Linked DNA regions of Notamacropus eugenii. The protein of the gene in region 1 interacts with the protein of each later gene in a pairwise test. Links are inferred from orthologs where the notes say so. Each region holds a gene or a part of one and is shown on either strand. Other genes may lie near its edges. The genes, in order: DTX2, NCS1, ALKBH4 and SPG21.

The links.
Region 2: the proteins of DTX2 (region 1) and NCS1 interact in binary tests that used the Homo sapiens proteins (3 or more experiments, as listed by UniProt). The two-hybrid records come from large-scale screens. The link is inferred for Notamacropus eugenii from reciprocal best matches to the Homo sapiens genes DTX2 and NCS1.
Region 3: the proteins of DTX2 (region 1) and ALKBH4 interact in binary tests that used the Homo sapiens proteins (3 or more experiments, as listed by UniProt). The two-hybrid records come from large-scale screens. The link is inferred for Notamacropus eugenii from reciprocal best matches to the Homo sapiens genes DTX2 and ALKBH4.
Region 4: the proteins of DTX2 (region 1) and SPG21 interact in binary tests that used the Homo sapiens proteins (3 or more experiments, as listed by UniProt). The two-hybrid records come from large-scale screens. The link is inferred for Notamacropus eugenii from reciprocal best matches to the Homo sapiens genes DTX2 and SPG21.

Annotation. Positions count from the first base shown.
Region 1 is NC_092873.1:51,444,238-51,451,240, reverse strand, and holds the start of DTX2 (probable E3 ubiquitin-protein ligase DTX2), read right to left. Parts: upstream 3,022-7,003; 5' UTR 2,749-3,021; intron 1-2,748. UniProt on the Homo sapiens protein: Regulator of Notch signaling, a signaling pathway involved in cell-cell communications that regulates a broad spectrum of cell-fate determinations.
Region 2 is NC_092872.1:481,788,512-481,795,769, reverse strand, and holds the start of NCS1 (neuronal calcium sensor 1), read right to left. Parts: upstream 3,001-7,258; 5' UTR 2,516-3,000; coding exon 2,452-2,515; intron 1-2,451. UniProt on the Homo sapiens protein: Neuronal calcium sensor, regulator of G protein-coupled receptor phosphorylation in a calcium dependent manner. Directly regulates GRK1 (RHOK), but not GRK2 to GRK5. Can substitute for calmodulin. Stimulates PI4KB kinase activity.
Region 3 is NC_092873.1:51,643,114-51,650,257, reverse strand, and holds the start of ALKBH4 (alpha-ketoglutarate-dependent dioxygenase alkB homolog 4), read right to left. Parts: upstream 3,004-7,144; coding exon 2,869-3,003; intron 1,530-2,868; coding exon 1,332-1,529; intron 742-1,331; coding exon 127-741; 3' UTR 1-126. Other genes in the region: LRWD1 (leucine-rich repeat and WD repeat-containing protein 1), read left to right, coding at 3,324-3,403, 4,499-4,733, 6,066-6,182. UniProt on the Homo sapiens protein: Dioxygenase that mediates demethylation of actin monomethylated at 'Lys-84' (K84me1), thereby acting as a regulator of actomyosin-processes.
Region 4 is NC_092872.1:127,366,284-127,374,268, forward strand, and holds the start of SPG21 (maspardin), read right to left. Parts: upstream 3,016-7,985; 5' UTR 2,880-3,015; intron 1-2,879. UniProt on the Homo sapiens protein: May play a role as a negative regulatory factor in CD4-dependent T-cell activation.

The DNA.
Region 1 (7,003 bases):
CAAGTGTTGCCCAACCAGAAAAATTCAACACCCTAAGGTCAATCTGGCAATAAGAATTTCCCAACATAGCTAGGCAAGTTTTGAAGCCTTTGAAGCTTGCCTTCTGCTGGCAGTCTTTAAAAGCCCAGTGGGGGCTCTTTATTCAAGCTACCAGGAATCCTAGAGTTGGGTGGCAAGCAGTGGCATTAGTCTGTCCCATTAGGAGGCATCAGAGAGGATTTTAATGGAGAAGAAAAGAACTTTCATCTAAACCATGGACAGCCCAGGGTCCTCTGATTCTGACTTAACAGCCTGTTCCCTCAATCAAAGTCCTACCATCAGGACAACCACCAGGCTTCAGCCTCACTCTTACATGCAGTGCCACCTTAGAAGTTAAGGCAGGACCGAGTAAGAGTAAAGGCAACTCAACATGATATGACATGTCACCAGGATGATTACATAAGGAAACCCAACAGTGTAGCCTCTGGGCCTCCCCAAGTGGCTTCGGGAGACTTCCTCTCTAATGCCTAGCATTAAGAGATTTGATTGTTTTAGAATGCACCAAAAGCTACCAGAAGACAAATATATATGTATATATATATGTATGCATCCTTCACGTAAAAACCAAAAACACAAGTTTCCCTTCGAGACTTTCATGATAAGTGGCCCTCACTTGAGGGAGTCAGTCTCCAAGTGGGAGAGCACTAAAGTTAATCTTCAAAGACTAGTTCAACACCAGCAGCTGGCAGAAAGCCACCCTAAGCCCCCCTCCCCTCCCACACCTCCACTCTCCTTTGTCAAAGCCACTTTGGGAAGGAGACATCCAAAGCCAAAGTATCCTATCCATTCTGGTCTTTTCTCTCCAGAGAACTGGCACAAACTGGAGACACACGGAAGGGAAAGGCTTGGTTTGATTTGCATTTTGATATTAAATATGAGCAACAGAAACCAGGCCAATCTCAAAGGCTTGCTGACTCAGCCCCACAAATTCCAAGGCCCATCTGTGTCTGTCTGCCAACCAATGACAAGGGAGATCAGATTTTAATTGAAAAACAGCAGCGATGGAAACAGAAGCACAGCTGTTGAACGGCCTCCCTGCAGCTGGGGCACTGGTAACATAGGCAGATTCGTTTCCAGAGTCCACTGGATCCCATACAAGTCTCTTCTCAGCAAGAAACTGAGGGAATACCCCAAGTTCACACCCTAGCCCTTGGATCGGAGCACCCACATCAAATCTCCTCTCCCTATGTGTCAGATGGGAAAAAGACAGGAGTTATGAGCACAGCCACTGCCACTCAGCAGAGCACTCAGGTCCTTGATTTTGAGCCACCAGGAATCCTAGAGTTGGGTGGCAGGCAGTGGCATTAGTATGAACTCACCCTGTAATTTTTCCTTAAAAAAAAAAAAAAAGTACAGGAGACCTGGACCTCGCCAATGCTTTCTGCTACTGCATGAATTGACTGAACAATGCAGATATGACGGGAAGGATTGTTCACCCCCTCCCCCAAAAGGATGCTACGAGAGGTGTGGGGGAAATCTAATAGACTCTTTGAGAGCTTATTTGTTTTTGTTCATGAGCTTTCTAAGTCCTTTAAATCTTGTACATCTTCTGTATGAAATTACAGTTGTCCCATACCCAATGTGTTTTTAGAAAAAGGAAGGGAACAACTATGCGGCAGGCCCGGTGTGTTCAGAGTTTTACAAATATTACCTCATTTAATCCGGAGAGGCAGGTGCCATTATTATCATCCCCTTTTAGAATGGAGGAAGGCAGAGACTAAGTGACTTGCCCAGGGTCACACAGCTAGTGTCTGAAGCACCCTATGAACTTAGGTGTTCCTGACTTCAGGCCCAGCACTCTCTAGACTCCTATACCTAGCTAGCTGCCTTTTAGGACCCTGTGTGCCTAAGCAGGAGCTGGAGAACCTGGGACACATTTGGGGAAACTTGGATGTAGGCTATCTCTAAAGTTCATTGTGGAAGTCTCCCCAAATTAAATTTTAAGACGAAGGTAATGACCAAAGGAGAATACTCTCCCGTTAAGGTTAAGTTGGTCTGTGGGAGCCTGGGGCGCTCCCGAGGTTCCTGGCTAGACCTCCAAATTATTTCGCATTATTCTTTATGTATTTTTCCCTAATATTTATACGAGTTTGTTTCACTAGGAGGTAAGGGCAGAGCAAGGGCTGTTTCATTTTTTTCTTTGTATGCCCAACGCCTAAGAGAGCAGCACATGCCAGGTGCCTAACAGAATTGTGGAATTGGAAAATGGGCAAAATGCAGCCTGGCCGTGAATTCAGGAAGTCGAATCTACCCTAGTGCCTGGGAAGTCAGCCCGGCCCCACAAAAAGAGGGCTGAAAAAGAGGAAACTTAAAACGAGAACGGGCATCCCAGCCCCGGGAAGGGGAGAAGACCGAGACGACTCCCAAGCAAGCGTCCCCGCGCCCCCGAACGGCCGGGCAGCGCCCGAGGATGTGGCCGGGTGTCCCGCGCCGCTCAGCGGCCCGACCGAGGGCTCCGACGGCGGCCCCCGAGCCCCGAGTCCGCGCCGGGCGGCGCTGCCTTCGGGCCCGGGGCCCCGCCCCCACCGCCCCGCCCCCGCCTCCGCCTCGGGTCGCCGCTCCGGGCCCCCTCCCCCAGGGCTCTCCCTCGGGTTCCTCCTCACCCGGTCCCCCGCCCCCTCCCCCAGTCCGCCCCCTGGTTGCCCCTTCCCCACCCCGCCCCTGACCCCGGGACCGGGCCTGTCCCTCCCGCGCCCAGCGCTTTCTTACCGGGGCTCGAGGCTGCTTTGGGGCCACCGGGCTTCAGGCGGCCCGGCCGGCAGCAAAGGCCGGTCCGGTCCAAGCTGGCTTCAGCTTCGAGGCAGGGCCGACGGACCGGAGCGACACACAGAGTGAAGGGAAGCAGCTCCACAGAAACGCCTCCGTCGCCGCCCCTCAATGCGCATGCCCCGGCGCGCGGCCCTCCGGGAATCGTAGTCCCCAGGGCGGGGATCCACGGCCACCTCACCTGTTCGGACCCTTCTGGAGCAGGGCGGAGCCCCGAGTGCGCTTGCGCACTCCAGACTCGTGTTCGGGAAGGCGGAGCGGACCCCGGAGGGCGGGGCCAAGAAACAGAAACCAGAAGCCGGCTGGGAAGGAGGCGTGGTGCCTGGAGGCAGGGGCATCGCCCCCTCGGCCCACCTGCTTACAGTTGCTCCTTCCACTTCCCTTTTGTAACTTTGTAAACTCTCTGCAGCTGGCTTCTGACCTCATCGTGCCACAGTGACCTTCCCAGGCTTGTGCAGCCTTGGACTCTGGCCACCGCTCTGGCCTCTTGACTCTTGATGCACTCTCCCCTTGGGTTTTCTGGACATCCCTTTCCCTCTGGTTCTCCTCCTATCTCTCTGACCGCTCCTTCTCTGTCTCCTTTGCTGGATCCTCCTCCAGATCATACCTCCTAACCCCAGGTTCCCCCAGGATTCTGTCCTGGGCACTCCTCTGTTCTCCCTTTCTACTAACTACATCACTTGGTGATGTCATCAGCACCCAGAGGTTTAATTAAGAACTCTATGCTGGTGATTCTCAAATCTACTATCTCCCCTAACTTCTTTCCTGACGTCCAGTCTTGCAGCTTCCTATGGGACATCTTCAAATCAAATGACAGGTAGTCAAAAACTGGACATCAAAGGGGTGCCCATCAAATGGGGCATGGCTGAACAAGTTGTGATATATGAATGTAATGGAATACTATTGCGCTAGGAGAAATGATGAACAGGGAGACTTCAGAGAAGCCTGAAAGACTTCTATGAACTGATGCTGAGTGAAAGGAGCAGAACCAGGAGAATTTTGTGCGTGGGCCACGGTGGGAGGAATTTTTCTGGTAGACTTAGTACTTCATTGAAATGCACGGGCTTAAAAAATTTCCAATGGACTCTTGAGGCAAAATACTTTCCACATCCAGAGAAAGAACTATGGAATTGGATGGCAGACAGAAACAGACCATTTTCTTTTGTATTATATTATGTTTTGTTTTGTTTTGTTTTATGGTTTCCCCCATTCATTTTAATTCTTCTATGCAACATAGAATTTAATAGGAATGTACGAGTGTAGAACCTATATAAGATTGTACACCCTCTCAGGGAGGGAGAGGGGAGAGAGGGGGGAATGAGTGGGAAAAAATCTAAGGTATATGGAAGTGATTGTCAAACACTGAAAACAAATAAAGTAATTCAATAAAAAAATTAAATGACTCATTAATATTATAAACTCAATAAGTCCAAAACCTACTTAATGTCTTTTCCTGCAAACCAATCCTTCACACCTATCACTGCTATCAAACCTTTCCATGACTATTACCTCCAGGGCGTTTGCAACCTGGAACTTGAGACAGGTTCACAATCTGGCACCATCTTACCTTCTCTGCTCTATTTCGCACTGTTTGCCTAAACACAGACTCTAAGCTCCAGCCAAACTGGTCTGTTCTCAATAGCCCTAAATATGTCCTGTTCTCTACCTCTGTGTCTTGTTTCTAGCTCTTCTCTATGCCTCAGCCTTGAACCTTAGCCAGTTGGGAGCATATCAACCAACCAATCATAGGCTTTAGACTAAGTAATGAAAAAAGTCCTTGAGTAATCAACTTGAGTAATGTGTATAGAAGGTGTTCTTATTTGTTGAAGAAATTTTGCGATGGCCTATGAGACATATAGAAAACCAGGTCAGAACCCCCCACCCCACCCCCACCTCCCTGTTGGTACTTGATTTCACAGACTGTCAGATACACCACATTGGAGTGTGGTGGAGGCTGGGGAGTGGACAATTGGGTTTTCACAGTGAGATGGAGTTTTTCTGGGGCATCTCACAGTTTTCTAAGAAACTGTCTTAGCACTGATAATCAGTTTGTATCAACTGAATTCCTATTATGTACCAGACACTGTAATGAGAGAAAGAGGGATGGAGAGAGAGAGACAGAGACAGAACAGAAAAAAGGGGAGAAAAAGGAGAGAACAAAGAGAGGAGCAAAGAGAAAGAGAGAAGACAAGAGGTCATTCCTACCCTCAAGGACTTTCTATTCCAATGGAGGAAAATCACACACAACCTATGTAGGGGCAAGGTGGAAAAGTCTGGAGGGTCAGGAGAGGAGCCAGGAGAGACATGAGCATGGATGGCCTGTGCACTTCTTAAATGGTGGTTCTGTGTGTTCATCCTTCGTTGCCAAAGAAGACCATGCCATCAGAGAAAAAATGACCTGACTTGCACTTGACTTTGTTTTGAGTGAGGGAGAGTTGTGCAGGTCACCAGCCTCACTTCTCCTCCAGAGCCATCTGGATCCAGTGACCAGACATTCATCAGGATGACTGGAGATGACCCAGGATGAGGCAATTGGGGTTAAATGACTTGCCCAAGATCACACAGCTAGTGAATGTAAAGTGCCTGAGGTGAGATTTGAACTCAGGTCCTCTTGACTCTTGCACTGGTGCTCTATCCACTGCACCACCTAGCTGCCCCAAAGGGTGGTTCTAATCAAGAACTCACTAATAGGAGGAGGGGGCCACCAGGCAGAAGCATCCCCAGGATGAGTAGCCTGCTGGGGTTGAAATAGAAAAGACCAGGAGTGGGTTAATAAGGACGTCCAAAAAAGCAGAGAGAAGGGTATACTCAGCTAAATTCCTGCAAGGGGAGAAGAGCTCCAGGCCTTGGCCTCTCACAGTGTCTCCACACCCACTCCCACTTTACACCAGAGGAGAACCTAGTGAATTTTGGAGTCCTGGAGAACTTCCCAACTTGCTGCTGGCATCCTGGCAGCATTCTTGGATCAAGTCATGGCTGTCTGCCTTAGGAACCAAAGACAGACTGGATGCCAATTCAAGGTGCTACCAAGAACTCTGCAGAAAAACTACACCACACCTAAGGGGGACCATCTTGAGGATCCAATGAAAGGACTCCCAGGGATCTGCCTTGGCTATATGGGTCCTCTAAACTTGAGCCCACATTCCCACGGATTCTGTGAGAGAGTGTGTTGCAGACATTCTGGAGGGGATGGAGAAGAGGTTTGTATCAATTGTTCTTGAGATACCGTGAGAAATGGCCTATTGCTAGGCTCCAGCTGGTACTGTAATTGACTACTGATTCACCTGCCTATGTTCTGGGAAGTTCCTTGGTACCTCACAGCTGCTTTAAGCCAGAGATATCAGACTTATGCACCCTGAAGTGGAGGAATCAGATTAAAATGTAATTGGGAAATGTTTAAAAAAAATAAATAAAAAATACAGTGTAACATAGATGATGTTAATCTGTGGTATTCTAAGTCAAAATGGAGCATAAATTCACTTCTATTTGAATCTGACACCTCTAATTTAAACCAGCTTTATTTAGACTCTCTTAACCATAATCAGTTTAGCAAACATACTCTCCCTTTACTCAAGGTTAGCAAAAGTTCTTAATCCCAATGGCCCTGCCATTGCTAAAGGGCATTGTAGTCCTGGCCACTCATTGATTGAATGTCCCTAAAATGACTGCCTCATTTGGTCCTTGTGAATCTGCCCCCACAACAGCAATCAGATATAAGGACAGAGACCCAGATTTCTGGACTCTAGAGTGGGGTACAAGGCCCACTTTATGCTTGCACCACTAACGCCCATACTTTCCTAGGAAACTAAAGTGCTGAGGACCCTAGTGCCTGCATGCCTTTCATTAATAACTGTATTACTTTTGATTGCTGGCAACTTCTGACCTTTCTTGGGAATCAACCAAGATCTCACAGACTGGTTGTTGTCCTTCATTCTCCAAGAGGACCAAAATGAAATCATTATGCTAAGAGTCAAGTTGCAGTATATTGGACTGTGGCTGATCAGACCAATATGAGCTCAGAATGTTCTACCACAGATCAGGCACAAATAGTCCATGAGAACATTTGGGGTGGATTCTCCAAATTTGCACATCTCGCATTTCTTTTGAGCTACTTCAATTCTGCTTTGCTTTCAGAGCACAGCACCTTCTCTGACGTGGGCGCATCATGTTGAGTGATCCTGTACCAATATCTCCCATG
Region 2 (7,258 bases), on another chromosome or scaffold:
ATCTAGATTTGAATCCAGACTCTATCCCTAGTAAGAGGCAAGCCATAACAATCTTGGGGCCTCAGTTTGATTTGAGAATCAATGAAATAACATAAGTAAATAAAAAGTACTGGACAAATCTCTAAGCACTAGCTAAATACAAGCTATTGTTATTTAAATGAGAAGGCTGAATTAGATAACCCCTGAATTCCCTTTCCACAATTATTATCTGGACATTATTGCCATGGACTTTTCATAATGAATAGGGCCATCTCATAGTTCCCCAATTACTGGGCTCCCTGCCCTGGGCACTTTGAAAGAAGCCTAGTTAATGTAAGTTCCCAGGTTATAAGAGGGATGACCTGAATTTCAGCACTCTTTAGCTGATGGGAGCCATTCTCCCCTACAGAGGGAAGGGATCTAAAAAAGTCACCCAGAATTGTCATCCTGCATTGGAGGCCCCACCTCTGACCAGAATTTGAAGCTCTCCAGTTGACCCTCCAGAAGATACTGAGAGAGCAGCCCAACTGAAAGAGACTGTTTCATATATTATAAGCCACAAGCCTCTGGCTCACATCAACCATACCATACCACTCATCCTTTATCCAAAAGAGCAGAATAGAGATGTTAAAAGAAGTTCAATCTCCCACCCACTCTGTAACACATTAGCTAAGGACACAGCTCTTAGCCCTTTGTTCCCTCTATCCATCAAGAAACTAAACACTAGAATTTTAATTTTGAGATAATCTCACCCAGTGGAAACTCCAAGGACTAAGGACCCATAGAAATGGCTAGAGTAAGCCCTGTTCAACAGGCAATCTGGTGCTAGAACCTGACCCTTTGTTCTCTGAGCATCTAGGCTTGGCTAAAAGGGAATAGAGGCTGGGTATGGGCTCACAATGCCATGCTGCCCAGCAGTCTGATTGAGCAGCGAAGAGGGTTAGTTAGGGTTGTGCAATGCACCACGGGTGCCTGCCTGCCTGACTCTCCTCCATCCCTGGACCTGAAGGATGTTAATCTCTTGCCTTCTGGGTTTGAGGGGGAGGGGAATGGATAGAGGCAGCACTGCAGTGGTGAGTGAGAATGACACCCAGGTGTTCTGTGCCTGCCATTCCTGCAGAGAAGCCTGGAGCTTGAGGACTGGCATAAGGGCAGCTATCTGGCCTTCACAAGAAAAAGAAACAGCCCAAGAAACCTATAGGGAAGCCATAGGTTCTGAAAGCAGATTGATAACCCTAAGCACAAAGTGCTAGAAATATGCAAAGGCCAAGGTGGTTATAGCCAAGTTGCCATTAACAAGACTTAGCCTGCAGATCATGTCTAAGAGAGGCAGGAAGGCAGATACAGAAAGGATATGAATTGAGGGACAGAGATAGGGACTCATTAGGGGAAGCTGAAAAGTTAGAAAGTCATGCAAGGGATGAAGATGGTATGAAGAGACACATTATGCAGATTAGACCTGGAGACTGGAGGATGGAATTAACAACTTTTCCTCTCCTCTCCCAGTTCTCGGTACTTTAAGTTTTTAACCCTAAAGGATCAAGGAGGGGACAAGTCAATGAAGAATTCTCCCTGAAATTCTCCCAGTCAAGAAGGAACCTTCCCAGCAGACTGAGCACCCTCCTTTCCCTCCCCTCCCCCCATCCACATACTCCTGGGAGGAGAGGGGGGTGGGAATCAGCTCACCTTGCCAGTACACGGTGATGCATGAATCACCCACCCTCTGGAGCTACTCCCAAATCGAATACCTATTTGCCAGGATCACCAGCTTGATGCTGCCAGGAGTCCCTCTACATGAAAAAATCCTCCTCCCACCCCACCCCACCCCGTTTCTCTCCGCAATCCACGCTGTCACAGCAGCACCAATAATCTTGTTATTAGGAAGCTACTTTATAATAGCAAAGTGGGCCTTCGAGGACACACTGTGCCCAGGCCTGAGGTGTGAGGAGTGTTAGGGAATGCCTGACGGGGAAAACTAAGACATAAAAATACAATTGACAGCAACAGCACATGGCCCAACCCTGGTCAGAGCTGCGGGGCAGCATCAGACTTCAGAACAATGGGGCCAGGTGTGAACGCTGGAAGCAGGAGAGAAAGATGCCCCCATAGCCCGTCTCCTAAATCACAGCAGCTTGACAAGGGTAGGTGTTTAAAAGGGATTAACGTGAGAAGGAGACTAGGTAAAAAACCGAGGAAGAATAAGGAGAAAGGGATGGAAGGGAGGACGGAAAAGAGCTGCGTGGGGAGGGCAACAGATAAGGATGGGAGGAGACGAGAAGGAAAGAGGACGAGATGGGGGAGGGGGGCAAAATGGGGGTGAGAGAAGAGGTAAGAGAAGGGAGGAGGAGGAGAAAAGGGAAAGGAGGAGGAAAGGGAAGGGAGAAGGAAAGATTGGGGATTGGGGAAGGGACGAGATGTGGGAACAGGAGAAAGAGGGATGGGGAAAGAGGAGGGAAGACCCTCCCTACTCACAGTAGGTCTTCCTGGTCAGTTCTTCTACTACTTCAGGCTTTAACTTGCTGTTGGATTTCCCCATCCTCTGCGGCCACGTCCCCCGCCGGGCCCGAACCGACTAGGGCATAAACCCCGGAGCGGCTCCAGGCCCAGCCGGCTCTCCCCTGTCCCGCCGCGGGGGCTCGTCCTAGGCGGCCCTGCACCGGCTCGGAGCAGGGGACAGGGGCGGGGGGCTCTAGGGTGTCTTTGTCTCCAGCTCTCTCGGTGCTGACCGAGGTCCCAGCTCGCTGAGCTCCGCGCGCCCTGGGCTCCCGGAGGGACTCGGAGTGAGGCCGGGAACAGAGATCCCGAGAGGCTTTTACATGCCCAGCCCGCGGGGAGCTGGCTCCGCAGGCCCGGGGGCGGCAGCCTCAGTCCCTTCTCCACCTACAGTTCCCAAATCCTGCCGCCCGCCCTCGGGGCTCTGCTGTGTGCGCTGGCTCCTGGAGGAGGCCCGGAGGCGCGGGGGCGCGGGGCTGCTCTCTTCCTCCTCCTCCTTGTCCTCCTCCTCCTCGTCCTCCTCCTCCTCCTCCTCCTCCTCCTCCTTCTCCTTCTCTTCCTTCTCCTCCTCCTCCAAGGGAGCTCTGTTGCTGTGGTTGTCCCTGGTTACTGGACTCCCTAGCACATGCTCCTTACCGCGGGCCCTCTCTACTCCTCGCTCGCACTCTCTTTCTTCCTCCCTCCCCGCCTTTACCAGCTAGCCCAGGCTCTGCGGCCGCCTAGAAGGAGGTGTTAACCCTAAGCCGTCAGTCAGCGCGGCTGCTCCGTGCTGGCAGGGCGGGGTCCTCTCCCCTTCTCCCTACCTACTTATTGCCCCGCTTCTCCCCTCCTCATCCGCACCCACTCTCCCCTTTCATTTCCTCCCCTCATTCCTCCCCATCCACTAGATTCCTTCTCCTTTCCCCTCTTCCTTCCTCTCCTTTCCCCTGCTCATTCCTCTTTCCAATCTTCTCCTTTTACTTTTTCTTTTCTTCTCCTGTGGCGTAATGACTAGACAGGATTTGCAGTCTGGAAGACCTGAGTTCAAATCCAATCGTAGACACCAGCTGTGTGACCCTGGACAAGACCCTAGTCACTTTATCTCTCTGACTGTTTCTTGGTCTGTAAATTTGGGGGAGGGGGGGCGGGGACCGTTAAACTCAATGACCTCTAAGGTTAATAAAGTCCCTTCCAGCTTTAAATCTGTGATCCTTTGATCTCCCTTTTCTCCCCTTTTCCCTTCGATCCTTCCTCTTCCTTCCTCCTCTAATAAAAAGACACCCTTCCCTCCCTTTTCCGAGCAACTTAAAATCTTCTGACACTTATCAGTTGCCATAACTAATGGGCAAATCACATTTTGGTTCCTCAGTCTCCTCCTCGGTACAATAGGAAATAATACTTGCATCTGTTTCGCCATTGTAAACTTTAAAGAATGTAGGAGGGTAAATTGTTCCTTCCTTCTCTGCTCTTGTCTCCTTAATCTAATTTTCTTCCCACCCTTCCACAGCTCCTGGGGAGGAATTGGGAAAGGTCAATCCACGAAATAATTTTATGTTACTTTATGTCGCATCTCTAGATAAATGTTCTTTCCTATATTAGCCAGATGTAACTGAGAAAGAGAAATCAGGAATCCCAGAAGAGGCTAAGAAGCTGCTCCCCTCCCACCCCCACCCCCAAATTGAGGGCTACCCTTTCCAGACTGAGGCAATCATCCTCCATGCTTCCTGCGTGTGGCGTCTATCTCTACACACACACACACACACACACACACACACACACACACACACACACACACACACACACACACACACACGCTTGGAGCTTATGGTTAGTTGGGAAGGTAGTAATAGACAACAAATGACTGGAGAATACTTACAAACCATCATATCAATGAATAGAAAGAAGAAATAAGCTCATAGACTTGGACCTGAAAGTGCTTAGAGGTAATTTTGTTCCACTCTTTGGCTTTACAGATATGAGAGCATTTATAGGGTGCTTTACTCAGGTAGCTAGGTGGAGACATCTTCCTGAGTTCAAATCTGGCTTCAGATACTTACTAGCAATTCGATACTGGGCAAGTCACTTAACCCTATTTGCCTCAGTTTCCTCATCTGTCAAATGAGCTGGAGAAGGAAATGGCAAACCACTTTGCCAAGAAAAACTCAAACGTGTCTTTGCCAAGAAATCCCCAAATGGGGTCATGAAGAGTCAAACTTTCTTATTTTCAAGTGTGGTAGAGATTAGAAATGGAGATGAAAATGGGCACTAACAAAGGGCTCCAGTGATGTTAATGAAAATATTCACAACCATGTTACAAAGCATAACAAGATATGCTCAACATTGGCATCTGGCAGGAACAATATTTATTTTAACCTTTAATTACCAAGAATCTCCTTAAAACTGGTGAAGATGAATCTTGAGAATAGATCAACGACTGGTTAAAAAAGAAAGCTGGGAGCATGTACCTTACAGGCAGTCTAGCAGCAGAAAGTATATTAGGCCTTTGGTTTCTTTATCCTTAAAATCAGTTTAATACTCAAACTATCTACCTAGCAAGTCTATAGTGAAGATCAAGCAAAATGATGTATAGAACACTTCAAAGAGTCATATAAATGTAAACTATTACAATGTTAGGTAAAAGATACTTTAAAATCCCTCTGGAGAGGTATTCTCTTGAGTCAACTTTATGAAAATGCAAACATCTCTAGTAGCCATCCATATATACAAACATGCTTATTAAGGTGAAAATGTGGTAAAACACAGAGAGAAATATCAGTCCCAGGGATATATCAAATCCCTCTGGGAATGGCAGTGACTGGAAAGATGCCAACTGGAATTCAAAGCTCAATGGGGGAAAGAAGTGATCCTATTTCTCCTGGGATGAGAGAAGACAAACACAATCCACTCTCACAGTGAAACTACCTAGCTGAAATTTATCTCTGTTAAAAAAAAAAAAAGGCAGGTGAAGACATATGTTACAGCCACCCAGGTCCTCTGTGTTCTGATTTGGGACATATCATGATGTATGGAGTCCAACTGGAAGCTTGTCCACTCTACTAGAACCACAGACTAACCTGAGAGGCTCCTGAATATATATATATTTTACCTACACTGCTCTATCACTAATAGCCATCATCCCATATTTCTCTTCCATTTTATGGCTAAACACCTTGAGAAAACTATCTTTACTTCATGCTTACTCCTCCTTCTCTCCTATTTTCTTTGTGACTCTTTAGTATGGCTTTCTGATCTTATCATTTAATTTAAACTTCTTACTCTAAAGTTACTGATGATTTCTTAATTGCCAAATCTAATGGTCTTTCTTCAATCCCCAACATTCTTGTCCTCCCTGCAGCTTTTGACACCATCAGTCATCCTTTTCTCAATATTCTCTTCTTTTCAAGTTTTCCTGACACTAACCTCTCCTGGATCTCCTCATCTTAACTGACCACTTTTTCTCAGTCCTCATTGCCCACTAATCGAGGTCATGCCCACTAATCATGTGTGAACCCCAAGGTTCTGTCCAGGGCCTTTTTCTCTTCTCCCTCTATACCACTTTTTCTCAGTCCTCATTGCCCACTAATCGAGGTCATGCCCACTAATCATGTGTGAACCCCAAGATTCTGTCCAGGGCCTTTTTCTCTTCTCCCTCTATACCATTTCAGAATCCATTGATTCCATTATCATCTCTATGTTGATGATTTCCAGTTCTGCTTATCCAGGCCTAACCTCTCTTCTGATGTCTAGTCTAACATCTCCAACTGTCTATTGGACATCTCAAAATGGGTGTCTTAAGCTCAACATGTCCCTCCCTCTTCTGTTTCCAATTTCCCTTTTCCTGTGAAGTGCACCACTGTCCTCCCAGTGACCCAGACTCACAACCTACATCCTCCCTCTCAACTCTTCCCTCATTCCCTACCCTCACATCTAATCTAGTGCCAATTCCTGTTGATTTTACCTTTATAACATCTCTTATATGAATGTATAAGTAGAGCCAAAAAAATTCCCCATCTCACATCTGCCCCTTCTGTCCTCTGACACCAATCCCACCCTGGTGAAGACTCTGTTCCCTGCCTTCCCTGACTTTAAAAACCCCACCTCCTATAGAAAGCCTTTTCTAATCTTCCTCAGCATTAGTGTCTTCCCTCTGCTGATTATCCTCCATTTAGCCTGTATTTAACTTGTTTGCAAATAGCTGTTTGCATATTGTCTCCTGTATTATACTGAGCTCCTTGAGAATATAGATTCCTTTTTTTACCTTTAACACAATGCCTGGTACATAGTAGGTGCTTAATAGATGCTTTTTTGATATGTGCAGAGGACTATAAAACTGTTATACCCTTTGATCCAGCAATACCCCTACTAGGTATATGAGGAAACTATATCCCAAGGAGATCATAAAAATGGGAAAAAGACCCACATGTACAAAACTATTTGTAGCAGCTCTTTGTGTGGTAGCAAAGAATTGGAAATTGAAGGGATGTCAATCAATTGGGGAAAGGTTGAACAAGTTGCGGTATATGAATGTAATGAAATATGATTGTTTTATAAAAAATAGTGAGCACGTGGATTTCAGAAAAACCTGAAAAGACTTACTTACATGAACTTATGCTGAGTGAAGTGAGCAGAACCAGGAGTGCATTGTACATAGTCACAGCCACACTATGAGATGACTAACTTTGATAGACCTAGCTGTCCTCAGCAATACAATAATCTAAGACAATTCCAAAAGACTCATGATGGAAAATACTGTCCACATCCAGAGAAGGAACTATGGAGTCTGAATGCAGATCGAAGCAGACTGTTT
Region 3 (7,144 bases), about 200 kb from region 1:
ACGTTTGGCTTCCGGGTTTCAAGTGTGCTTTTCTTAAAACTGTGTGTTTTCAGGATCAGTAGCGCTGTTGGGTCCTGGACTCATTTCTTGACAAATCTGGGTACTGGCTCCCTTTCTCTAGAACTGTCACACAGGTTTTCCTTGGAATGACAGAGCTATTTCCAGGAGTTCCTGCCCTAGTTCTTCCTGCTTTCCTCCAGGACAGAACTCAGCTGACAGTTCTCGGAAGGTGGCACAGATTCGGTGGCTTTCAATGTGCTGGCGGTGGATGGCATGTTTCCACTGATAGCGGGCAGCCCCAAACAACACGAGCAGGGACCTGGCGGGTAAGTGAATGGCCACTTCCACAAGGTCACACGGAACAGATCTCCAGGTGCTCTGACCCTCCTCTGGGTCTCCCATCTTTGTGTCATTGGGCAAGGAGTTCCCTGTTCCCTGCTGGGACACAGAGAGTAACTGAAGTCTCTCATCTGAATCCCGAGACATAGATAGGACTGTTGGTGAGAGCAGATTGAGGCTGACTAGCCGCTCTCCCCAGAGCCAGGAGTCATCCAAGTGGGGGTCGATTGCAGAGCCTCGTTCAGGGTGGTAGTCCAAGTTACACTGTTCAACTGGAAGGAACCTCTCCAGGATGGGGTGAACCCCCATCCTCTGCACAATTTCCCGACTGAAGCTGGGCAGGCCATCAAAGCTGCCAGGTTTCAGCTTCTGTTTCCTAAAATTGACTCTGGGGCCATAGTCCTATAGAAAGGGGAAAACAGAAGAGGGCAAGGAAAAAGGAATGGTGATTTTCACTTAAAAAAAAAATTTCACAGCCAGCAATTTCCTTATCAAACAAATCTGAAGTAAGTGCCTAAGGAGTTGAACAAAGATATCCAGGTAGAATGGATTTCTAACTCAAATGTCTGTAGGCCTAAACTAGCCATGGTTCAATGACAGCCACTGAGCCCTGTATCTGGGGGCCACCAGTGCTCCCCTATCTGTGCTATGGGGCTTGAGCTCCCTGCACACCTTGGGAGATGGTCTCTGGGGGCTGCTCTGGCCAAAATAATTGCCACTTGATGAGCCCTCCAGTGAGCTGATTCCCCAGACAAATGGTGTTTCTAGCTGGACACCTTTCTGGCTTGGTAGGATCCACCTGAGCTTGGGCTTCTGCTGAAGAAGACTTCAGGGGAGGGCGTTGTTATCGGTACACAACACAGCTGGGAAGTGCTATAACACAGCAAGATGAACACTAACGGCAGAAGGGGATAGCAACTTCCATCAACCACCTGTGGCTGGTTCCATTTGCCACAGAAACAATTCTGCAAATGGTGATGCATAGGCTGTACCTGTTTCCTTCTTCCAGACTGTGAAAGTTTCCAGTCATCTTGATCCATTAACCGAACCAGTTCAGCTTCCTCCTCAGCACTAACAAAGTTTTTTATCAGAGATACTCCTGGGAAAGGAAAAGCCCAGCCAGCAAATTCTGATTTCTCTGTTCCTACAGCCAAACCCGTTTCTGAACAGTAGATGAAATGGGCTGTCTTCTGCAGAGGAAAAGACAGAAGCAAGGTCCTGGAATGAGCAAGTTTCATTTTCAGGGGTCAAGTCTCCATGATCATCTTCTGTCCTCACCAGGGAAGGAAGGAAACAAGCACTCATTAAGCACCTTATACCTCATTTGATCCTTACCTTGGGAGGGAAGTGCTATTATGATACCCATTTTACAGAAGAAGAAACTGAGGCAGACAGGTGAAGTGGCTTGCCCAGGCTCACAGAGCTAGTGTCTGAGGCTGGATTTGAATTCACTGCTCTGTTCCCAGCCATCCCTGGGTAGATAATCTCAATCCCATGTTCTTTTTCCTGAGAAGCTGGAAGTTTAACAATCTATTTCTCTCTCCCCGGTTCCTGGGTTCTAGCATATCCAAGTCTCTCCTCCTCTGCCCATTGCCTGCTCCCCCTCTATCACTGCCCCCCAGCCACCAGCCCCTCCTGACTCAGTGTTCCCTGCAGCCCCGGGGCCCCCAGTTTCACTGATTCTTCTTTTCCCTCCTCCCCCATTCTTTCTTCCAGCCCAGGCCCATAACTGTTTCTCTTTTAGGCAGGAATCCTGAGGGTCTTCCCCTCCCAGTTTGATTTGGTTTTTTTGGATTAAAGAGGCCATCCCTTGAGTAACTTAAAGAAGCCTATTCACTGAATGGGTGTAGAAGTGAGAATGCTAGAAGACCTTAGCCTGAAAGGGCCAGGGTCTCCCAGTGCATCCTGGGCCATCTCCAGTCCTCCGGACCAACATCAGGCCACTGGACCCAGATGGCTCAGGAGGAGAAAGTGAGGCTGGTGACCTGCGCAGCCCTCCCTCCCTCAGACCAAAGTCAGCTGCAAGTCATGTCACCATCTTGATGTCACGGTCCTCTTAGAAGGAAGGACGAACACAACCATCGGCCCTCCCAAGACTCCCCCGAGAGGCCCCGCAGGAATCCCATCCTCGCTGACCCGGACCGCACAGACGCGTGCCCGTCCCACCACACGGTGCAGCCTGGTCACGGGGGCGGCCTTGGAGGAGGGGGGCCGTCCGGCGGGGCCCAGCAGCGCCCGAGGACGGCTCCCACCGGCAGTGGGGACTAGAATGGGCAGGGCCGCCCGTCCCACGCCGCTCATCGGGGCGGCAGAGCGGAGACGGAGCACCGCAGGAAGGACAAGGGCCCCAAGCCGGGCTGGCGGCGGCCGCCAATTTCAGGGCTCTCGGCCTCGGTCTGCCCGTCTGTGAAATGGAGCTGACGACGTCTCCGCCCCCACGAAGCCCCTGGGGTGAAGAGCCCCGCCCGAAGCCACACAAGTAGGGGGGTGCCCGCCCAGGCCCAGGCGCCCCTCCCCACCGACTCCCACCTGTGGGGGCAGGGCTCCGGGCACGCCGCCGCCTCGCTCCCGCTCGCACAGCAGGCAGGTCCGGACTCCTTTGCAGCCGCAGCCTCGAGGCCGCGCCCCGCAGCCGCTCCGGCCCCCGCCGCCCGCAGCCGCCATGCCGGTGCCCGGAACGCCGCCGGGCGGGCAGCCTCAGCGGGGCGTGTGCGCAGGCGCGAGCCGCGGGGGCCGCTGGGAGAGGTAGTCCCGCGGGGCCAGGACACGTGGGATCCTGCTCGGCCGGGCCCTTTTCCGGCCGGCGCCGCGCGAACCTCTCCAGCTCGAACCGCCGGCAGAGGCCGAGGCCGCGCTCCGAGCTTTAGCGTCGCCTCCGTCCGGGCCCCGGGTGAGCTCGTGGAGACAGCCCCAGGTGGCGGCCAGCCTCGGCGTGCAGGGCCTCGCGGCGGGGAGGCAGCGTGCGCCTGCGAAGGCCGGCGGCCATGGGCCGGCTCAAAACCCCGCTGCTACTGCAGAGGGGCTACCCCAAGTCCGACCGGCTCGGCAGGATCAAGAAGCTCGAGTAAGGCTGGGCGGGGACGTGCGCGCGCGCGCGTGCGCGTATATGTATGTGTGCGCGGGGGAGGGAGGACACGCGTGTGCGTGCGTTAGCGTGGTGCGAGTGTGCGCGTGCGCGCCCGTGTTCCTCCGCATGGTGCCTTTGGGGGCCAGTGTGCGTGCGTCCCTGCGGCGCTTCTGTCTCTGTGTCCCCCTCTGGCTCCTTGGTGACTGCGTGCGCGTGCGTGTCCGCGAGGTGCGTTGTGCGCGTGCGTGTCCGCGAGGTGCGTTGTGCGCGTGCGTACGCACACTGCCCTCCAGCTGCTTCTGCCTGTGCGGGTGTCCGCACCCTCGCCGCCACGCCCCCAAGCCCCGGAGCCACAGGTGCTAAGGTGGCCACCGCGATGACCCCCGCCCCCTCCGTGCCCCCGCCAGCTGCCCGGTGTGCTTCTCTGCGTGCCCACGTCGGTCTTCGCTGCGGGGTCCTGTGCCTGGCGCAGCTCAAGCCGGGCCTGAGGGTCAGGGATAGGGCCCCTGCCCGCTAGTGGCCACCCTGGAGCCGGGGCCCCCTGCCCCTTGGTGTCCACCCGCTGGTGCCCGTTCTGGTGCCAGGGCCTCCTGCCCGCTAGTGCCCGCCCTGGTGCCGGGCCCGGCTCCCCTCCGTGTGACTGTACTTTCCGTGGTACCCCTGCTGCTGCTCGTATTATGCAGGCTGCTGGAGTCCCTGCCCCCCTTCCTGCCCAGGGCTGTGACTGGTGCTCCAACCCTCCTCCTGCCCCAGTGGAACCGAACTGTCCCTCACTTGTTATGGAGAGCCAGAAGAGTGACCTGGGCAGAAGGGACGACACAACTCCCTTCCTTGAATGAAGGGGTTCAAAACTACTTTTGACCCTTGTCCCTGTGTGCCCCAAGCACTATGTCCCCTCTCATCCTTCCCCCTGCTTCCCCCTCAGTCAAGGAGAGGGCAAAGCATGCTAAGGACAGACCCTGCCCTCAGGAAGCTCACCCTGTGGTGGGGGAGACCAGACACCCAGAGAAGAAAGCCCCCCAGTTTTCACCAGACTGGGGGGAGCCCAGCCCTTTAGACCCTCCACCCCCTCCCCCCTTTTCCCCACCACAGTTTGTCAAACCTTCAGCTTCAGACAAAAGACCTGGACCTCAAACTCCTCAATCGAATGAAGCAGCTGAAGGAGCTGGATCTGTCAGATAACCTGCTGGAGAAGGTGCCTGAGGGCCTGGACCTGCCCTGTCTGCAGGTCCTCAAGTGCTCCAACAACCAGCTGGAGGATGTCACCCCCCTGCAGCAGTTTACAGCTCTGGAGGAGGTGGATTTCGAGGACAACTTATACCTGACGGTGAGCTGGGGCAGGGGTCATCCACCGGCATTTCTTTAGGAAGTGTCTACTAAGTGTGCGGTGCTGTGGATTATGGGAAGAGTGAGGGATGGATGGAAACAGGCACAGAATCCAGTAGGAGAACCTGAGTTCAGATTCCACCTCTGACACCTTATGACCTTACTGGTCTCATGTTAGAAGTGCAGAAATTCTCATTTTCTCATCTAATTGAACAGGATATTTCTTAATCCAGTGCTTTCTCTCTGTTGATTATTTCTTATTTAGCCTGTGTGTAGCCATGTCTCTTTAAAAACATACATAATGTGATATACAAGCATATGTGTGATGTCATGCATTTGTCTGTTTATAGCACATGTGTGTTACACATGTCTTGTGTCATGTGTATTATATTGTTTAATTTTATGTAACCATGTGTATACATAAATGCATGTACATTAAATACAAGCACACCTGTACTATAATACGTGTATACGTAGGTATAACTGTTTGTACGTCACATGTTTGTGCACAGTTGTGTGTGTTGTCTCCCCATTACACTTACAAAGACCATCTTTTGTTTTTCTCTCTATCCCCAGCAATTAACATGGTACCTCGAATATAGTAGGTGCTTAGTGAGTGTTTGCTGATTGACTAGATGGTCCTCAAGAGGCCCCTTTAGCTCCAGGTTTAGGATCCTGTGCTGGGGACTGTAAGGGATGCACAGCCACCAGGAAGACCAAACAGGCCCTGCCCTCAAAGCACATGGAATTCATAGAGGGATAACACATCTGTGAAGGAATATTCAGAATAAGTAAACAGTAAACACAAAGTAATTAGGAAGGAGGGCTCTGGGGGAGGGCTGGGGGTCAGGAAAGGTGTCTTGTAAAAGGTGGGAGTTGAGCTGAGTGTTGAAGGAAGAGAGGGATTTGGTAAAAAGGAAGAACATTCCAGGAATGGGAAGCTTGTAGTCTCATCTAGAAGCCAGGCCTGGCAGAAGAGGGAACGTGAGCTGGGAAGGGGCCCTCTGTGCCAAGGCTGGAGGAGAACCCAGAGCTCAGGGAGCTTACAAGTGGTGCCTGTGGCAAAGCATCATGGTCCAGTGGGAAGGGGACCAAACTAGCCTGGGCCTCAGGAGATCCGTCTCTGCCACTGACTTGCTGTAAGGAAGTTATTTAAGATATCTGGGGCTCAGTTTGCTCCCGTGTAAAACTGATGGGAGCTAGGGAGGTGAGGAGAATTTAATCAGCTGGTCTCTCAGGGGACATTTACCTCTGACATTGGGACTTGGTAGCTTGAGGTCTGGATTGGTGGCAAAGATTGCTTGTTCCTGAGCTTGTCTGTATTCACCCCCAGGTCAATGACAATTACAAGATCTCCTCTCTACTCCCTAACATCAGAAAAATTAATGGAAAGGAAACAGCCTCACTGATGAATCATGTGAAGATCCTGAACCGGGAACTGACCAGTCGAGTAAGGATGGCAAGAGGTCAGGGTGGGGAACCTTTCAGGGGCCGTGCATAAAACTTCCTGCTGGATGTTGTAAGCTCAAGAAGTTCCCCTGAGGTCAACAAGTGCTTTCTCCCCCCAAAATATGATTTGATAGAAACACCGAAAGTGTTGCTAATGCTGTCCTCACAGGTCAGATAGTGGCCCTCAGTACGCGAATTGACCTTTACTATATGTTTACAGATTTATCATTTTGGAGTTTGTCTAAATAGGGGTTCTTAACCTGTACGGGTGGATAAATTTCCAGGGGTCCTTGGCTATAGATGGAAAAAAAAATTATATCCTTGTTTTCATTCATCTTTACCTGAAATGTAGCATTTCCTTTGATTTTTAAAACGTCATTCTGGGGGGGGCGTGGTTTGTGTCCAGCAGAGGCTTCACCACTTTGCCTGCCAAGGGGTCTGCCCTGGCAGCTGTCCCGGGGGTACTCTGAGGGAATGGATGGTCCAGGAAATTTAGTCTATTGTAATTGCTGTTAATAGGAATCTTCACCATCTCCCTGCCTGAGGAAACACAGTATCTACTTCAGTATTTTGATGTAGCTTTAGGCCCCCAACACCAGCCATCTTTGGGATGGCCCGTAGGCATCTCAAACCCAATGTATCTCTAGTGGAATCCATTGTTTTTCTCACTGAATGCACTTCTGCTTCCTTCCTTTGTTCTGTTGAGGGTTCAACCATACTTGTAGTCACCCAAGTTTAAAACCTTGGAATCTCTCTCTGTCATCTTCTCACCAAACTGGTCTATTCGTCATCTTCTGTGGACACTATTCCATCTCCCACATCATCAAATCTTTGGACAGGCCATTTCCCTTTTGCTTACAAGGTTCTCCCTCCACATGATTGCCTACTGGAATCAACCCAAACTTGAAAAATCCACATTTCAGCTCACCTATCACTTGATCATCCAGTCTTGGCTTGAAAACT
Region 4 (7,985 bases), on another chromosome or scaffold:
ACCTGGATAAGTAACTTCACGTCTCTGAGGGTTAGTTTTCTCATTTGTAATATGAGGTCAGACCACATGATTTCTAGTTCTACTACAATTATTCTATGATATTTGGTCAGTTGGCCAGTCTTAAGACAATATTCTTCTTTACTGATCTACAATGAAACCTAAAAATAGTTACTGGTTTTATATTCTAATTAATTAGCAAAAACTTTCACCACATTCATCAGCTGCAAGAAGTTTCAGATACAATCATAGGAAGCATTCTAATTAAGTTCAGTATTAACACCTGCACAACCACATAACCCAATACTCAGGAAAGTCTGCAAATAATTACTTTCCTCTACTATATCCTCTAACTCCACAAATCAACTAAGAACCCGGGAAGATGGGTCTTGTAACTTGTGGGATCTTTGGACTATGGGGAGCCTAGATCTGGGCAACTTGCTACACTTAAACGTAAGTGGAAAATTCTTCCCAACCCAAAGCCTCTAACCACGGAGAGGCCTGGAACCAAACTGCCTTTAAGAAAAACAGGACGCTAGAGCAGTTTGTTTCCACAAATTATAGGCTCTGTCAGATAACTAAGTGTTACTTTAGGGTTCTACCAACAAAATGTATGTGACTCAAAAAGGTAATTAAAGCTGGATATTCTTACATTAACATTTCATTCTCAATCGAGACACTTGCCTATCATCTCAATTTGATCTCAAAGGGTAAATTAGGACAGGACATGAGAGAGTTTGCAAAAACAAAAAACCCAAAGAGGTTATCGAATGCATAAAGGTAGCCATTAAAAATTTGTAATAAGCAAAAGAAATTTCATTCTGCTTGGATTCATTTCTAATTCTTAAGAATGTATATTTAAAGGTGAAAAAAATCCATCCCCATTCCCCAACTACAATCTTAATCCTTTGGGCTAGTCATTTTATCAAAATTAAGGCATCTGGCACACTAATTTTTACCTGAATGGACTCAAGCTACTGTCATTTAAAAAAAAAATCTACTTAGTTTACAATGAATTTAAAGTTCCATTACAAAATTACATTACAAGAAATAAACTGTCTTTTCTGAGAAGGCAACATTCTAATCTTGCTTAGGAATGGAAAACTACTTATTAGATTTATAAAACTGATTTTAGATAATTTTAGATAATAAGATAATAGATAATAAGGCCAATAAATGAGCTTTCCAAATCACCAAACTGAGAACAAAATGAGCTCTTAAGTTTGGAACTGCAAAGACACAAAAGGCAGAAAAATATGTATTTACACACACACTGACATCATACCCATCCTTAACTTCTTTCCCAAAGCATATCATAATCAAATATACATATTATAAACAAAAGATGTTTCTTACCAATATTTCTTGGTAATGTAGAAAAAAATTATTTCATTTTAACTATAGACTTCTAGACTTAATGATTCCCTGGACAGGGACTAAATTACCGCTCAAGGCAAGTTATGTTTAACACTTGTGCTGTTCTGGCAGTATACGAAAGGTAAGAGATACCAAGTGTTGATTGAGCAACTGACTGCTTAGTGAAAAAGCCTCACAGCTGGGAGAAGAAAACAGCTGGGAACTAACAGGGTGAAAAAGGAAAGTTTGTTCTCAAAGATCCTTTTCATCCCTTTAGAGAGGGTTTAACTTTTCCAATTCACATGGGGGATAAACTATGAGCAATGAAAGCTTAACAGTCTGACCACGCTGGTTAGGTTTAATCAGCAAAGGGCACAAATCAAAACATGGTTAAATTTTCCACCACTTAAAGGGAGAAAAAAGCTCTTTTCCATTTCCGTAAGTAATGCACTACATTTTTAGTCCCAACCCATGCATGTGTAAACATCAAAGCTTCCGTTTAATCCCAGATTCCTCCGATACCTATCCCTTAACGATGCTTGGCATTTGTAAGAGATTTCAAGATGATGAGCACCTGCCTCCTTGGAATCCAAATAATGGTTTTCAGCTTACGTGAAGTGAAATGTCACTGTCCTCACTTGCAGTTCAAGTCCCTTATCCTAGTCTATAGGCCATGACTACACCTCGTGAATAAAGCCTGTATGTGTAAACTGACAGTGACAGCAAAAATAATGTTAATAGGAGAGTCTCGTTTTTCGGGGGGCTCCTGGCAGACCTGCCAACCTAACTAGACCAACGTCAATGGGCCAGAGTCACAGCCAGGGAAACCTTCCCCCCAGTTTTCAGTAAATCCATTTTCACATCTGCCTCCAGCCTTTCTGCAGCGACTTCAGGCCGTTTCCTCTTGCTGTCTGGCCCGGGGGAGGCAGAGCGGATGGCGTGACAACCCCCGAGGCGTCGCACACGGCTACTAAGTTACTGCTCTGCGAGTCTCCAGGAGTAACAAAGTATCCAGCAGAGGCAAGGCGGCCGCGGAGGGCGCGTTCTGCGGGTCGGGAACATCCCCGCACGCGAGCCGCTCCAACCGGCGATTCCTGCGGCGCCCGTCCCACCCGGGCCGATGCCCCCGCCCGGAGCAGGTCGTGGAGTCGGTTCAACCACCACCGGCGTCTCTACCAGCATTTCCTGCCTGCGTGCCCCGAGGCACGAACCGCAAGCTGGGAAAGCCTCCCCGGAGGCCGTGTCTGCACGCACAGGACCAGCACACGGCACCGCAGGGTCGGGACCTGCCCTGCAACTTACGGTCTCGGGGAGTCGCGAGGGCCTCAGGGATTAAGGGACTTGCCCGGGGTGTCGGAAGCGGGACTCGAACCCGGGTTCTCTCGCACTAAGGATGCGGCCCCGCGCGCCTCCCCCGGGGTCCCCAGTCCCAGACCCGCAGCGGGGGGCGCGCCCCCCCCACCGTCCCAGGGCCATTCCCACGCCGGCGCCCCCGGCCACACCTCCCGCAGCCCGGGTTCCCTCACCTGCCGCAGGCCGGCCCCCGCTTCCCTCCCCAGCCCCGGCTTCTCGTGGCGAGCCGCCGCGGACCCAGGCCGCGGATCTGCCTCGGCGTCCGTACCCAAGGCCGAGCCGACAGGCAGGGCGGGGGGGAGGGGCCGCCTCCGGGGGTGGAGCGCGCAGCCGTGCGGGCCGGACCGCGCTCCGCTCGGCGCCCAACAGTCCCGGGCCGCCGGGCCGCGCCGCTTCCGGGGGCGGGGCCGAGGGCGGGGCCGCGCTGGGCGGGGCGTCACGTGAGGCGGAAGTCCGCGTGGGGTGGCCGTCGTCTCCATAACTACGGAGACTGCGGCGGGATGCTCCTGGATCCCGGGCCGTTGGAGCCCTGCCGCTGGCGCGAGGGAGAGACTGGCGAGCTTGGCCTCCCCGGCCGCGTGGGAGCATCAGAGTGACCGGCCGTCTGACCGGACTCTGGGGTGAGGCTGGGGCAGCGGCCCGGGATGGCCCGTGCGGACTGCCCGCAGCTGGCCGCCAAGTCGCTCAGTCTAGCCCTAGGTCTAAGCCCCAGGAGGCCTCGGCCTGTCCCCGAAGTGAGCGCCCCGCGCTCCTGCCGTCCCCCCCAAACCACCCATCCCCCCACGCTTGACAGGGAGTGTTGAAGAGATGCCCTGTGGGAGCAAGGTTCCGAGGTGTGATGCTGGAACGCCCCGCCTAGGTCTGGTCCACCCCCCCATCCAAGATCCAGCGGCAGGTGGCTGGAGCCCCGCGCCCCCCGCCCTGGCCCCGGGTCTGGCCCTTCCCGCTGCGCTCCGCCAGCTAAAAACGTGGCCGAGTTCCTGACTCCGCATTCAGATCTCCAGTCTGAAGTGACGGGCCAACCAGAGGACACAAAGGCACTGTGCGCCCCGCAATGTGCCACCGTACTTTGTGTGAAAGTGAAGAACTGGGAACCGAACACGTGCCGAACACGTGCTGAACTCTCGGCAGGTGCGGCTTCAGACGTCAGCGCTCACCTGAAACCAGCGGGCCGCTCTCCGTCCTCATTGTCTCCTTGACAGTCTCTCTGTGTCTCGGTGCTCTCGCCGTCTGAGTGCTCCATCTCCCTCTCATTTAGGGCAGGTCTGCTGACCATGAGTGTCCCTGAAGACTGCCCTAGGTCCTCCTCTTCTGGATGATTGGGCTTGATGATCTCAACTCCCGTGAATTTCCATGCAGATGTTTCTGGTATCTGTTTGTCCAGCCCTAACCTCTCTCCTGACCTCTAGTCTCTCATCTCCAACTCCCTATTAGGCATCTCTGACTAGAGATCTCAAATTCAGCAAGTCCAAAATCTTCCCCCAAACTCTCCTTCATTCTTCCTAACCCTTATTACTTACTGCCAAGAGTACCATCATTCTCCCAGTCACCCAAGCTTACAACCCTGAGGTTATCCTTTACTCCTCACTTGTCTCTCCTATTCAATCAGTTGCCAGGTCTGGGCATTTCTACATTGGTAACATCTCTCATATATGCCCCCTTCCCTCCTAATACTGCCACCACCCAGGTACAGGCCCTCATTATCCCATTCCTGGACTGCTGCAGTGGCCCACTGGTCTCCCTACCTCAGATCTCTCCCCCTACTCCAGTCCATCCTCCACTCGGCTCTCAAACTGATCTTCCTAGAGCATAGACCCTACTGTATCACATGCCCCACTTTCATAAGCCCCCATAATTCCCTATTACTTCTAGGATCAAATATAAAATCTTTGGCATCAAAGCCCTTCATAACTGTCCCTTCTACCTTTTCAGTTCTCTTGTACCTTACCCTCCACCACAAATGCTTCCATCAAGTGATGCTTGATGTTCCTTTAGATACTCCATCTCCTGACTATACATTTCACTCGCCATCCCCACCCCCAGTACCCCTTCATTTCCACCTCCTGGTTTCCCTGGCTTCTTTCAAGGCTCAGTTTAAGTCCCATCTTCTGCAAGAAGCCTTTCCTAGTTCTCCATATTCTTAGTGTCTTCACTCTGTGATTATCCCCAGCATATCCTTTATAAATATATTATTTGCACATTGTCTTCCCCATTAAACTGTGAGCTCTTTGAAAGCAGTGATTGTTTTTTACTTTTCTTTGACTCTCCAGAACATAGCACAATGCTTGGCCCATGGTGGGTGCTTAATAAATAAATGCTTGTTAACTTGATATGCATGTAATAGAATATTACTGTGCTATAACAAATGAATATGATGATTATGGAGAAGTGTGGAAAGACCTCTGAAATGATGCAAAGTGAAACAATGAGGAAAGTGGCATGCTTAATTACCACAACAAAGAAAATGGAAGGATGACAAAATGAAAACTGGATACTGTGAGATTATAAGGACCAAACTTAGCCCCAAAGAAAGGGTATAGAAAGCACCATCTAACTCCCAAACCCAGTGTGGAACACTGCTTATAATGCCAAACTTTAAAAAAAATATATTGATTTTGTTAAGTTTTTTCTTCTTTTAAAAATCACTGATTACAGGGAATGAGTCTTGGGGAGGGATATTTGAGATATATAGGCATAAAAAACAAAAGATAAAATTTTAATAAAATGATGGGCCCAGTGGAATAGGATAAAGTTTAACTATAGGAATACAAGGTTGGTAGTTATTGTTAGATGACAGTTAATCTGCAGAGGACCTAGGACTTGGAAACTCAATACAAGTCAACAGTATAACTTAGGAATCCCCAAAAGCTAATACAATTTGAGTCATGGTGCCCAGAACAAAGACTGAGACTTTGAGTCAGACCACCTGGTCCCGTCTCCAGTACTTACTAGGTATGTGACCTTAGGCACGTCACTTAGTCCACTCGAGGCCTTAATTTCTACACCCGTAATTTGTACTACCTGCCTCTCAGCGTTATTTGAAAAAATGGATTTGTCAACTAATACATAAACATGAAGTGGTATTAGCCTACCATCTTATGAGAGTATCTTAAATTTTTCTTCCAATGATAAAGCTCTATATTTTAAAATACCTTTTGGCTTTAACTACCTTAATATATCCCACCTACTCTCAATGAGCTAATCCCTTATATCAAAGAATAAAAAATAAAGAGAAAAAAAAACGGTTCAGGAAACCAGATAACCTGGTAACTATATCTGCCAATATTTGCAAGATTCTACACTCCAGAGTTCCAACCTCTGCAAAGAAAGGATATATATTTTCTCAATTCTTTTCCAGTGCCAATCTCATAATTACAAATCATTCTAAAATTCTCTGATACTATGATGCTATAATGATGCTAGATAGGCCTGAAGCTAGGTTTTATAGAACCTAAATCTCCAATGCTACCCACCCCTTTTGCCAGCAACAACACTTCCCTCACAACACAAAATACTGATACGTCCATATTTGCCAGGCCTTATCTATACATGCTGTGAAAACTTTCCTTTTCTAATATTAAAGATAATATTTGGGCCAAACACATAATGAATAATTTGATTGTATCTCCTTTTAATGGATACCACTGATATGCTGACATTTATATTTTTAATTATGCAACAACAAATGGTAGGTATGTTCTCTAAATCTTTACAAGAGTAAGATACATTTATTATCTATATGTTCCAGCTGCCTCTAATTCACAGCTGTTTGGAGTATACTTTTCAAAGACAGAAGCCCACTTAAGCACAAGGAGACTGCATGGCTAAGATACAAAAAAATGCTCACTGTTGATTTAATAGTTCACAAGAGGGGTTGGCAGCTGTTGTGGGTAGGGTCCACCAGATGGTTCTCACAATACTGTCATCTGTTAGAAACTTAGCTGAAAACCAGAATGTCCATGAAGTATGCTTTTAACAAATAACCCTATGGATTCTCAGAATTTCCAAAGCAATAAGTCTTACTGCCACAGCCTCACATACAGTAAGAACTTCAAGCTGAGTCAGCACGTGAAAGGCAAAAGGGAACAGAAAACCTGGTTTTGTAAAAAAAAAAAAGGGGGGGTACAATTGATAAATGGTCAAAGGATATGAACAGGCAATTTTCAGAAGAAGAAATTTAAGATATCTATAATCATATGAAAAAATGCTCTAAATCACTATTGATCAGAGAGATGCAAATCAAAACAACTCTGAGGTACCACATCACACCTATAAGATTGGCAAACATGACAGAACAAGAAAATGATAAATGCTGGAGAGGATGTGGGAGAGTTGGAACACTAATTCATTGTTGGTGGAGCTGCGAGCGCATTCAACCATTCTGGAGAGCAATTTGGAACTGTGCCCAAAGGGCTACAAAAATGTGCATACTCTTTGACCCAGCAATATTGCTACTAGGACTGTATCCCCAAGAGATCATAATAATGGGAAAGGGTCCCACATGTACAAAAATATTTATAGCACCACTCTTTGTAGTTGCCAAAAACTGGAAGTCAAGGGGATGTCCATCAATTGGGGAATGGCTGAATAAATTATGGTATATGAATGTAATGGAGTACTATTGTGCCATAAGAAATGATGAACAAGAAGACTTCAGAGAGGCCTGGAAGGACTTATATGACCTGATGCTGAGTGAAAGGAGCAGACTAAACAGATATGGCCTATATTGAATTGCCTGTCTTTCAAGGGGAAGGGGTGGAGAGGGAGGGAGCTAAGGAGGTTGGAACTCAAAGTGTTAGGACCAAATGTAATGTTCTTACCACTGGGTAACAAGAAATACAGGTTAAGGGGTCAAGAAAGCTATCTGGTCCTACAGGACAAAAGAGAAGACGGAGACAAGAGCAGGGAGGGAGGATAGAGGAGAGAGCAGATAGGTCACAGGGGCAATTAGAAAGCTCGGGTTTGGGGGGGGAGGGGATAAAAGGGGAGAAAATTTGTAACCCAAAATTGTGTGAAAATAAATGTTAAAAATTAATAAAAAAAAAAAAAAAAGAAAGGAGCAGAACCAGGAGAACTTTGTGCACAGCAATGACCACAGTGTGCGAGAGTTTTTTCTGGTAGACTTGGAATTTCGTAATAACACAAGAACTTCTTAAAAAAAAAAAAAATCCCAGTGGTGGTTCTCTAAGGCAAAATGCCTTCCACACTCAGAGAAAGAAATATGGAAGTCATTCGCAGAATGTAGCAGATCATGTTTGTGTATGTGTATGTTTTTGTGT